Linked DNA regions of Arabidopsis thaliana. The protein of the gene in region 2 interacts with the protein of the main gene of each other region in a biochemical or structural test. Each region holds a gene or a part of one and is shown on either strand. Other genes may lie near its edges.

What was found. Proteins that work in one complex are often made in the same cells at the same time.
Region 1: the proteins of AT1G25320 (region 2) and AT1G14390 form a complex in vitro, tested with the Arabidopsis thaliana proteins (one large-scale study listed by BioGRID).

Annotation. Positions count from the first base shown.
Region 1 is NC_003070.9:4,921,572-4,927,859, reverse strand, and holds AT1G14390 (Leucine-rich repeat protein kinase family protein), read right to left. Parts: upstream 3,824-6,288; 5' UTR 3,584-3,823; coding exon 2,338-3,583; intron 2,262-2,337; coding exon 2,140-2,261; intron 2,061-2,139; coding exon 1,814-2,060; intron 1,734-1,813; coding exon 1,540-1,733; intron 1,444-1,539; coding exon 1,066-1,443; 3' UTR 946-1,065; downstream 1-945. Other genes in the region: UBC1 (ubiquitin carrier protein 1), read left to right, coding at 67-156, 254-342, 438-566.
Region 2 is NC_003070.9:8,875,405-8,881,519, reverse strand, and holds AT1G25320 (Leucine-rich repeat protein kinase family protein), read right to left. Parts: upstream 3,731-6,115; 5' UTR 3,533-3,730; coding exon 2,059-3,532; intron 1,975-2,058; coding exon 1,340-1,974; 3' UTR 1,132-1,339; downstream 1-1,131. Other genes in the region: CES (basic helix-loop-helix (bHLH) DNA-binding superfamily protein), read left to right, coding at 32-97, 567-635, 743-823, 910-1,005.

The sequences.
Region 1 (6,288 bases), 4.0 Mb from region 2:
CAAGAAGCATAAATTTTTGGGATCGTTGTAGTGGTGTTCTTATGTCTCTTTCTTGATGCTGTTCAGGTACTTTCAAACTCTCACTGCAGTTCTCTGAAGATTATCCCAATAAACCACCAACAGTTCGGTTTGTGTCACGGATGTTTCATCCTAATAGTAAGTTATAGAGATACAACATTGGATTTTCTATCCACCTGGTTGATGTTCAGCTTTTGCCTCCAATTAACGTTCTTCTGCTCTATTCGTTGTGTAGTTTATGCAGATGGGAGTATCTGCTTGGACATTCTACAAAACCAGTGGAGTCCAATCTATGATGTTGCTGCTATACTTACCTCCATCCAGGTGAATTCAAAATGCCATATGAACATCTCTTGATGCCCTTAAAAGCTTGAATTGCTTTCTTCTTCTCTAATCCGTTTTTCCCTTTGTTATTGCAGTCCTTGCTCTGTGACCCTAATCCGAATTCTCCTGCAAACTCGGAAGCTGCTCGGATGTACAGCGAAAGCAAGCGCGAGTACAACAGGAGAGTGCGTGATGTTGTTGAGCAAAGCTGGACTGCTGACTAGTAGTAGTTTGTTGTAAGCGTTGTAGCTCTCTCTACTTTCTCTCAATCACGATTCAGCAACAGCTTTCTTCTCTTTTCATTCATGTCTTGTGTTTCCAAAACTATTTAAGTGATTCCATGCTTTGATGTAACCCAACATCCTTAAAAAAACAACTTTGTACCAAACCATCTGAATTATTCACTTTTGTGTATATATGTATTACGATTTACTTGCTAGCTACAAAAAACAACTTTGTACCCAAATTCCACAAAGTTGCGATATTTTATTTAAGGGTTTGTGGCCTTATCCTTCTGTTACACCCTTTCATTGCCTTAACAATTGCATTGCTTTCTTTGTGACGCTAATCCAATTTCTACACCAAAATCTGAAGCTTCACATGAGACTCGTAAGTACCTTAAGTATTAGTAGGTTCAACTTTATGTATTCTCATATAGGCCTTGAATTTGACATTGATCAGTTTCTCTATGTTCTTCAAGGATGGTGATTTTATATTTCTCTTCTATAGTTCTGAACCACCAAGCCCGAGGTTCTCACTGCTTGTCCATCCTTGTTGCACTTGAATTGTGTACTGCAGATTCCATACAACATCCTCTATCGATGGCCGCTTCCTCTGATCTTCACAAAGACAGTTAATGGCAAACTCTACTGTGGTTCTCAATGACTCGTATGCATATGTTCCTCTCACACACGGATCTGCCAAGCTACGCAACACCGATGGTTCGTCTCTCAAACTGTTCTCCAGCTGAAGCTTCAAGCTCCCCAACTCTGAAGATGCAGCTGCTATTACTTTGCCTGTGATGATCTGAATTAGTATCACTCCAAACTGGTACACATCTTCTTTCTCTCCATCTTCATTACTAGGGCTCTCCGCTCCAACCTGAAATTCCCCCAGAAGGTTATATATTTCATGAGAGGTTAAACTGAAGATTAGAAGCTATATCCTGATTATATTATATCTGGTTTGTTTATATACCTTGGATGGTAAAGGAATACTATAACCACTGAGTTTTACAGTGAGTGTTTCATCAAGTAAAACATTCTCTATTTCCAAATTGTTCCCAAATATTCCTGGTGCCACTCCTGTGTGCAAGAACTGTATTCCTCGAGCAACTCCAATCGCTATCGACATTCTCTGAGGCCATTTCAACACCTCTTTCTTTCTCCAATCTGCCAAAAACATTTCCAAATAATTAGTTTCCCAACAAAAATATAAGTTCTTGAAATCGATAATCTTTTTCAAGTATTACCGGTGAGGTAATCCCTCAAAGACCCGTTAGAGATATATTCTTGGACAATGAAAATAGTGCTTCCGGCATAAGGATGATGATCTTGATAAGTACCAATGCAGTGTCCAAGAACACTGACCAAATGCATATGCCTTAGCTTTGATAAAACTTCCATTTGTTGAGCTAAATTCTGTGTTGAATTCTTCTGTTTCAGCTTAATACACCTCACTGTCACTGCTATGCCTTCTCTAAGACAACCTTTGTACAGCTGTTTTGAAATTAGATATATCGATTAGTTAGACACTCGGATCAATTTTAAATCATGTCTTATTTACATTTTCCTTTACCTGTTCTCCACAGAGATTCTCTGCATCAAAATTGTTGGTTGCTTCTTCCAGTTCCTCCAAAGAGAAAACTCGGTATGGTGATAGTCCAATCACCGCGGATCTCATGGTTTGCGGTACACGTCCTGCATTTGAAAAAATCAAGCTAGTTAGGTTAATGGGTGTGAAAACTTGATTCAAGATTTCAAAGTAATAGCCTACTTAGATCTGGTACTGTCTTTGATGTGGTGGACCTGGTGGTGTTGCTGCAAACAGTGACCTGATCGACGTTGTTTGCTTCCAAAGGCTCTTCTTTTGATCTTGATTTTCTCATCCTAACCAAAACCAAGCCAGCTAAAACCGCTGAAACGAGGATCACACCGATGATAATGCCAATCACCAATCCAAGTTCGATTCCTGTATCTTCTTCTTTCCTTTCTTTATCTTTAGTGTCAGACTTCACAGCAGCTACTGCTTGCTTTGCTTCGTTTTCACAGAAGGTAACTGGACGCTGATACTTTGCAGAAGGAGAACCATTTATAGACAAGCAATTGAATGTGAAGAGCAGTACTGTCTGTTTCTTGGAAGAGAAGCAAGATGGAAGCTTCCCAGTCAGAAGATTCCGAGAAACATCTAAAATTCTAAGCTTGGAGTTGCACAACGATGAATTTGGAAGTGATCCACTCAGCAAGTTTTGTGCTAAACTTAGATTCTGAAGCGAAGGAAGCGAAAGCAGGAATCTTGGGATTGAGCCAGTGAACTTGTTGGAGGAAAGATCTAAGCTCTGAAGCTTATTCAGCTTCTTGATCTGTTCTGGAATCTTTGATCCAAAAGAGTTGTTCTTCAATGAAATAGTAATCAAGTTACTTGCAAGTGAAGGAACAACTTCAGGACCGAGTTTATTACCGCCTAAATTCAGCTCTTGAAGATTCGACAATCCTCTGAGATCAGGAACACTTCCGTTAAACAAATTGTTCGCTAGAACAAGACTTCTCAGATTCTTCAACGACGAGATCTCTTTAGGAATATTCCCAGAGATGAAATTAGAACTGAGATTCAGAGATTGAAGAGATGAAGATAACCTGATGATCTGTGAAGGGAGAGGACCAGAGATGCCAAGAGAGACCAGAGACAATGTCTTTAAGTTTGAGAGTTTTGTAAGAACAGTGAATAGTGAGTCGCTTGAGAATCTTCCGGGGAGCTTAACGGTTCTGTTCCCCGTGACGGTTAATTCAGTTACATGACCATTGAAACAGAGGATTTTGAAAGAAGGAGAAGAAGGGAGGTAGCAGAAATTGGTCCAGTTGCTCCATGATCGAAGAGTTGGTGGATATTGTAAATGCTTTTGGATTTCTAATAGAGTTCTTGATTCACTTGATATTAGCTGTGATTCTGAGACTGATGGCAGAAGAAAAAGAAAGAGAAGAAAAGTGAGAGAAAAGGCCTGGCTTTTAGAGGAACTATGCATTCTCTCAGGAAGAATTACAGAGAAATTAGAAAGAAAGATGTTATTGTGGCTTAAGGAACAGAAGGTCTTTCTGTTATTGTAGCCGAGATTAGTGTTAGTATTTGTTTAGTAGTCTAAAAAAATGGTGTTTTGTACATAAATTCTAGAGATTTTTTTAGATCGGAAGCAGATTTTCTAGGGAAATTGGGAGATAAAAAAATGAAACAATGTTTTTGGGACAGAGCAAGAAACAAAATTAAGTGGAGAGAAGTTCTGCTGAGAAGAAGACAATAAATACAAATTTTGTTTAATTTTTGTTTCTTATGTTGATTGTTCATAAGTTTCACATTGACAGACTGTTTTACTGCTTCGAAGAAAGTGAATGAAATTTTTTAAAAGCATAAAATGAATTAGATCCTTAAAATACGTAAAATCCACATGAAATATCTGACTATTTATCTACTTTTGATCTAAAATTTCCACAATTTAGAGTTATTTATTTACTTCAACTGGTTCTTAATTAATTTCTCTGTTATGGTCAGAAGACCTTTCTTTATTACTCATATAACATGCATTTATTTGATACATAATACATGCATAAACATACAAATACATACATGTTTGACGAATAAATGTTGTGTAGTAGTACTTCTCTCGAAATCCGTTGATCTCTTCCCCAAGGTAAATTCTTTCATCTTTACCAATTTTTTAAAAAATATAAATGAATAAACTTACGAATAAATGTTTGTAGTTTCTTTTATAACATTTTAACTCCTGTAATATCAATACTACTTGTAAAATAACAAAAAATACATACTTAATTAATGAGCAACGTTGCATTAATTGTTAATGCATAGAGATTTGATAGATATATAGCGACCAGACAGTATGTAATAAAAGTCAACCAGACCAGTGAACGAGTTTTTTTACACGTGCTCTTTCGTCAATGTAAATATGTAATGATCAGATCGTGCCGTTAAGGATCATCCAAAGCCACCGTCGCAAGGAAAATCTAACCCCGTTCGTTGGATTAAAAGCTCAAATAAAGAATTACATGTCCTAACCAAATCTTTTTCTCGAACTACACTTTTAACCACTTGTTGTTTTTCTCGAAACCAGAAGGACACCAAATGATCATCTATATACAGTAAACCAACAAATGATATAAATCGTACTTCTTTTTTCTCGTGGTCATCAATCAACAATTCAATATCAAACTGTTACAAAAAATACCAATCTCAAACTAATAATACTACCAATTAGTTCGGCCATGATATATTTTCATCACTATTGTCGGTGAGAAATGAGTGTCATTTTGTTTTCGTGTGTTTGGAAAGTGTTGAGATTCTAACAAATGTTCAGCTGTTTTCTTTTTGGTGTGTGAATTGTGATGAACTGTCCATTACTTTCTCTTTTGTTCCTTTATTCTTTTTACATCGATCTCTCATTGTTCTTTACTTCTTTTTAAGTGGCCTGACGTGCGATCCTAATAAAAAGAAGGTTGGTTATATACAATTTTTGACAAAAACCAAAAAAGTTTTGTTGTATAAGAGGAATTATAGAAACCATGCATCACCAACACCAAGTAGTAAAAAGTTTCATCCCAAAACAAGTGACCGTCATCGTAGTAAGTTAAAAAAATGGCTGAAAACAAAAGTTTTCAAGTTCAAAATACAAGGTTTTATCAGAAGCACTCAAAACCAATATTTTGTCACAGCTTCCAAGTTTCCAAGTAATCATGATGAAAAAATATACTATTTTCTAAAAACAAAAAGGTAAGGGAAGATAAAATGCGAGTTTGCAAGCACATCACATGCAACTGCCTTTGTAATAAGCGACACTGCCAAAGTATCAATTAATATTATACAACATGCATTTCTTTTCAATTTTATATGCAGCTTTATTATTAAAATCCTTTGTCAGATAACTTACAAACTGTTATTTTTTGGGCTTATAGGCTTATTAAAGGTTAGAATTTAAACCCATATATGTATCCAACTAATTTAAGGCCCAAAATATGCATCTTTAGGTCCATATAAATTAGGCATGTTCAAAATAAATTACCCAAATTATATAGCATATAGTTGAATAAATTCAGAAAAAAAAAAATATCATAAAGTTTACACTGTAGTTTAGTTGTGACATAAAATTTGCTAATGTAAAGTTATCCACAAAAAAAATTCAAACATTTTAAGATATTCATTTCTTAAAACCAGGATTCAACTTCGAACAGAATCAAATCTAAACTTTATTATAGTGATAATTTAATCATGTTTCTTTCACATTCGTTTATGAAACGTCAAAAAATATCTAGTTAGAATACAATACATTCCTATCATGAGCTGGTTAGTGGTTACGATTTAAATAATTGATTAGGAATACTAGATTAGATGTTTGGATTAAGCGAACTAACCACTTGGATAATGACACCCATCATTCTTGATTGTTAGTATTGTTTTAGAAAAAAGGTTATCACTTATCATCAATGTCATGATCATGATCCAAGAAAAAGGAGGGTATTTCTGTAAATAACTCCCTTTGACTCCTTTAATTGGGCCCAGAAAGGCCTAGTTTTAGACTTTGCCTACACATCATTCCAAACGACGTCGCTTTGAACCGAAATTTCTTTTGTTTTTGTCTATTCCTTAATTAATTTTTTCTTTCTAATTAAAAGTGGTAATATCTGTCATCTTCTTCTTTCGCTATCAGTGGAACCGTTGGGGAAG
Region 2 (6,115 bases):
TTGTGTTGGATTCTTTGTGGAATGCATAAAGGTACGAAGAGAGAAGATCAATGAAAGGCTGAAATGCTTACAAGACCTTGTTCCAGGATGCTACAAGGTACTTGAATTAACGCAAACCCTAATATTTCTTTTTGTTTGTTTGTTGTCTACAACTCCCTAATTTTTGTTTTGTAATTAAAATAAAATCAACAAAACTCTAAAAACAAGTAACTCTAGATAAATTAGTTACCTCTAAATCCAAGTAACTCTGGTGCTATTTTTTGGTTTAAAAACACTTTTTAAAGATAATTTTTCAAGCTCACAATTCTTTAACTATTAATATTTTTTTTCTATGTATCATTGAATTAAAGTGTAAAAAATTAGGAATCATGTGATAGAATATTTTAAAACTATAGAAATAATTAGTTTTTGTTTTTGTTTTTTCGGAACGCCAAAATCTAAAAGGGTGTGGCAGCGTCTCTTACGTAAATGAACAGATTGTTTTTTTGTATAGCGATTTTTTTTTTCCACAGTAATAAATCAAAATGGGTTTATTCTCTATAATGATAATTCAAAACGTGATGCAGGCAATGGGAATGGCAGTGATGCTTGATGTCATCATAGATTATGTACGATCACTCCAGAATCAAATCGAGGTTAGTTAGGCCATTGATTTCACTCTTCAAAGTTCAAACATCCCATTAACTTTTATAATATCCCACTAATACTTAAATGTTTTCCTGCTTTGGCCTCTTGACTACAGTTTTTGTCCATGAAACTCTCAGCGGCAAGTGCATGTTACGACCTTAATTCTTTGGATATTGAGCCAACGGATATATTTCAGGTAACTATCACATAATATTACATGATTAAAATTATAATAAGATAAAACATTTTCATGGATTTGTATTAACAAAAAAATGATTACAGGGAGGGAATATTCATAGTGCAGCAGAGATGGAAAGGATTTTAAGAGAAAGCGTTGGAACACAGCCTCCTAATTTCAGTTCAACATTACCCTTTTGATCATAAGAAAATTATGAATTTTCAGAGAAATTATTCTCTTTTTCTATAATTAAACTCCATAAATAAGGACTTACCATGATCAGTATATATAGGTTTATCTATCTTTTGTGTGTGACGTCAGTATACTTTTATCATAAATGTGTAACCTTATGATTATGAAGCTTATCCATATAGTATGTACCATGAAAATGAGTAAAGCTATATGTTACAAAGAAACTCTATTTGAAGTAACATAAGATTTCGATATTACAAGGGGAACTAACAACAACAGTAAGACTTTTCCTTTAAACACATTACATACACACAATTGACTTGCAACCGTTTTTGTTACGAGTCACTGAAGGCAAATTTGGGTCAAAGCATCAGCGATATGCTTCATCGGTGGACGTTTCTCGGGGCTAGTACTAACACAAGCCATTGCAATTTTCAACACGGCGATGACCTCTTCTTCAATCTCTGTGTCATTAGGCACCAAATAAGGATCCAAAATGTCTGACATCTCTTTCTTCTCATCGATACACATTTGTATCCACTTGACTATCTCCATTTCCGATTTACCCACGAAAACAATCGGTAATCTTCCCGTTATCATCTCTAGCAAGATCACTCCGAATGAGTATACATCCCATTTCTGTGATGGCTTCACTGTTGCTTTAGTGGCTTCAGGAGCCAGATAAAATGAGCTCAAGTTTGCAGATGATCCAATCGATGAGGCGGTCTTGTTGGATGGTCGGTCAACTGTAGTTGATTCCAATGTTCCAGCAATGCTAGAGAGGTGCATAAGTCCGAAATCCGAGATATGAGGCTCCATATCCTGTCCCAACAGTATATTGCTGAGTTTCAGAGATCCATGAACATACTTTTTAGGACTAAACTCGTGAAGATACACCAGCCCTCTTGAGATTCCCCTCATTATCTTTAACCGAACTCCCCAAGACAGAGGCTTGAATGACACCATTCCAGGATTTCCTAAGCATACACAAAAACCAAAATTGAGTTTTCAAGACAGAGAAACGATATGAGAAGTATTATCATAAAGGTTTTATAGTTTACCGTGGAGTGCATTGGTAAGGCTTCCATTAGGAATGTAGTCGTAGATGAGAAGTTTCTCTTCAACTGACCAATAATAAGCTTTAAGACTAACGATATTCGGATGCCTTAGCTTCCCAATTGCTTCAACTTCTGTCTGAAACTCCTTGCATCTTTGGGAACCTCCTTCTCCCAGTCTCCTAACAGCGACCGTTAGACCATCTTCGAGGACAACTTTATACACAATCCCGTTCCCGCCTTTTCCAAGAACGAAAGCTGAAGCCTTAAGCAGCTCATCTAAATCCAAAGCAATATGTTTATCCAACAGAACAAGATCTTGTTGTGGCTCAAGATTTTCCGAAGAAGGGGACTCTGATCCATCTCTTCTGAAACAGAAGGAACCTTTCTTTTCTTTCCCTTCTTTCTCCAACACATAGCCTTCCTCATCCACACTATTACGACGTGCACAAATCTTCAAGTAACAACAAGAGAAGAGAAATCCCACAATGCAGATTCCAATGAAATCACAAACCACAATTGCAACAATAGCAGTTTTACTTAAACCTTCTCCTTTCTTTGACCCTCCTCCACCTTGCTCGTTGTTATCCGGTACAAAAGGGTGAGAAGTTGAAGAACTATCCGTATCTGGCAAACAAGGATCCTTCAATGGAGGGCCACAGAGTCTTGGATTCCCCAAGAATGCAGTTGGTCCTCTGTTCACCAAAGCACCGGTTTGTGGGATTGGTCCACTCAAGTTGTTGTAAGCTAGATTGACATAAACTTTCTCAGGCAAATTCCCCAAACTAGCTGGAATCGAGCCACTAAACGAATTATGAGACAAATCAAGAGTTCCTTGCAATCTAGTCAAATTCCCCAAATCATCAGGAACAAGACCAATAAGATTGTTAGAAGAAAGATCAAGCTTCTGCAAAGAAGCCAAAGACTGACCAAATCCACTAGGAACAGAACCAGTGAGATTATTCTGACTCAAATCAAAGCTCCTAAGCCTATTACACTTCAAAACCGATTCTGGAATAGACCCATTAAGAGAATTACGAGAAAGATCCAAAATTTGCAGAAACTTTAAGTCACCAATCTCATTTGGAATGGACCCAGACAAGAAATTCCCATAAAGAACCAAACTTTGAAGACCTTGAGCCTTAAAAAGCTCAACAGGTAAGTTCCCACTAAGCTCATTGCTTCTCAAATTCAAATGACGGAGATTAGAGAGTAAACCAAGAGAAGAAGGAAGATAACCTAAAAGTTTCTTCTTTGGGATGCTAAGAGAGACAACAACCTTGTTATCATCACAAGTGACTCCATTCCAAGAACAAGGGTTTTGATTCTCTGAGTTCCAATTGCTTAAAGAACCATCTGGATCTTTTGAAATAGACTGCTTCAGAGTTAAAAGAGCAAACCCTTCGTCGTTTAGAGCATTCAATTCGCCATTGAAGTTCCAGATAAGAAGAAACATGAATAAAAGAGATCCCACCGACATTTCGGAGGAATCAGTACAAAAAAGTAGCAGAATTTGGACAAGAGTTTACTTTTGGTAATGGAGATATCAAGAATGAGAAGAGTTTGCGGAGATTGATGAGAGAATTGGAGAGAGAAGAGCAGTGAGAGTGTGAAAGCATGAAAAGGGACTGTGAGAGACGTTGATAGAAGATTCGGGCTTCCTAAGTTGGACCTTTGGACTTTGGTATCTATCTATAAATATCCCAACTTTTTTTTTTTGAGATCAACAATTTATTAGTATTTTTATTTATACAAATTTCTGTTTTCATTTATTGGTGAATTAAAATCAATGTTGAATAGTTTAAGTGATATAGAATGATGGGAAAATACAAAACTTGAGAATGATGATGACAAATGTGCAAAAGATTAGCTCTTGCGGAGAAATTCATGCACTTTCTTTATCATAACGAAAGAGCACTTATGCCAATTTTTATATACTTTTAGCTCACATATTATTATTACAATTTTTCAAGAAAAAAACTTTAATATTAAAAGAAGCTGTTTTATTTGTTATTTTTCGTTTTCTCTTAATGAAAATTTGTGATTTTCATACTTCAAAAGGAATGAGACAAACTAACCGACCTTTAACAATTAACTATATTTAATATGATTATAATTACCAAACAAAAATGTATATTTATGATTATCATTTACAATACAAATTTTTAAGTAATTGTATACAAGATATGTATGAGCTAATGGTTCCAGTCGAATGAATAATAGTTGCAGTAGACAAGAGTAAGCTGGAGTAGAAAAAGTAATACCCCTACTTCTACTTTATTTTGTAAAGAAAATAATAGAGTGATTAGTACGGCTCCATGATTATCCCACATTCTATGTATAACTATATATAAAGGGAACACCTTTATGAACTATGATGTCCCTCTTTGTATGTTTTCCAGCCGTTAACACACACATTTGTATCATCAAGTAATCAATTTATTGAAAAATGTGAATCATGATGTCTATAGTTGTCTAGCTACTCCGAACGTATACTAACTAATCAGTTTTAAAATTAGTTGATATTCAATGTATGTGCATGTGAATGTGTAGATGTAAATGTAATTTGTGAAACTTAGTTCAAGCTAATTAACTAAAAGGAAATAAACATAAGGTTATACAAATGGAGATTGTCTATATGTATTTGATTAAAGATCTTTCACATTTAATAACAGTTTGGGATTTAACAAAAAAAACATAGTTGTGGTGGTGATATACTATGAAGTTATAGATGCTGATTCATAGTAGTGAGATTAATTTTAGAGGTTTTACTAACAGCCAATAATAGAAACTTCTTTCAAATAATTAAAATTTCCTATAAAATAAAGCACATGAATGAGAATGACACCAAAAAAGTAATTGCAGTTCCGATAGGATAGAAGAAAAGTGTTGCTAAAAGAGATATCATACATTGAACAGACATGCCTGGACCTATGTTTTATGCTTTGCTTTCTCAGCATATCAATCATCCATACCACCAAGGCACCAACACTATATAATATTAAGTGAAGAATGAATGTTCTCAGTCTTTGTAAATTAGACTGGACAAAAGAATACTACGAGAACGTAAAAAGATTAAAATATCATTTTGTTTACTATTTTTTATCAGTAAAAGCACTTTACATATATATAGTGTGCCCCAGTAAAAGAGATGGTGGATACATGGAGCAGCAAAATATGAGTATAGACCAGAAAAGATAATCAAAGCTAGGCTCTAACTTTGGCACGTTGAAAATAGGAGCGTGTGTTCGAGAAGTTAGCCGTTGCTGTGGAGCACTGGAGCGCATAGACTATCTAACATCATTACCAAACTACGCAATCCACATGTATTACGCAATAACATGATCTCACTTGGTCTTTGTGTTTTTTTTCTTTTTTCTTTCTCTATTGCAGTTTTCTTTAATATTTTCGAAACATCATGTTTATTAATCTTGGTTTCCATGGATGCATATTTTACCTAAATAGTGCAACGTTGTCAAAACCAATTGTTTGGATCGATGATATAACACTCATGTTTAGAAACTATTTACTTTTTTAATATATAAAACTTTGAATCTGAAGAGTCCTAAACTAAGACTAACAAAATAGAGGGACTCATGATCCAAAAGTTCTTGAAATCAATCTTACTTATCATTATATACGGGTAATAAATTTCTCAATCTGTAGAATATTATATCGATTGTGTAAATTTTAAACTATGAATTTTCATATTTCAAAAACAAAATAGCTCAATTTAACATTGTTTTCCATATCCCGAGATTATAAAGCATTTACGATCACCTGAGATATAAAAAACAAAAAATAGTTCATTTGTGAGTTATAAATATGTCACGTAAAATTGTTATAACCTCATGTTGTGTAACTTCTTAAAGAAACTACAAATTAATTTAAAAAATCATCCCAGAGATTTAGTTAAAGAAATTATTACCATGTCACCCATACATATAGACAAATAAGGCTGATGTCAAAACTTTAGTGCTAGATAAGATTTTAGAAAGTCTAAATCCCAACATACATGCTGAATGCTGACAAAGATCATGCCGCATGACAAACAAGGTTGCCG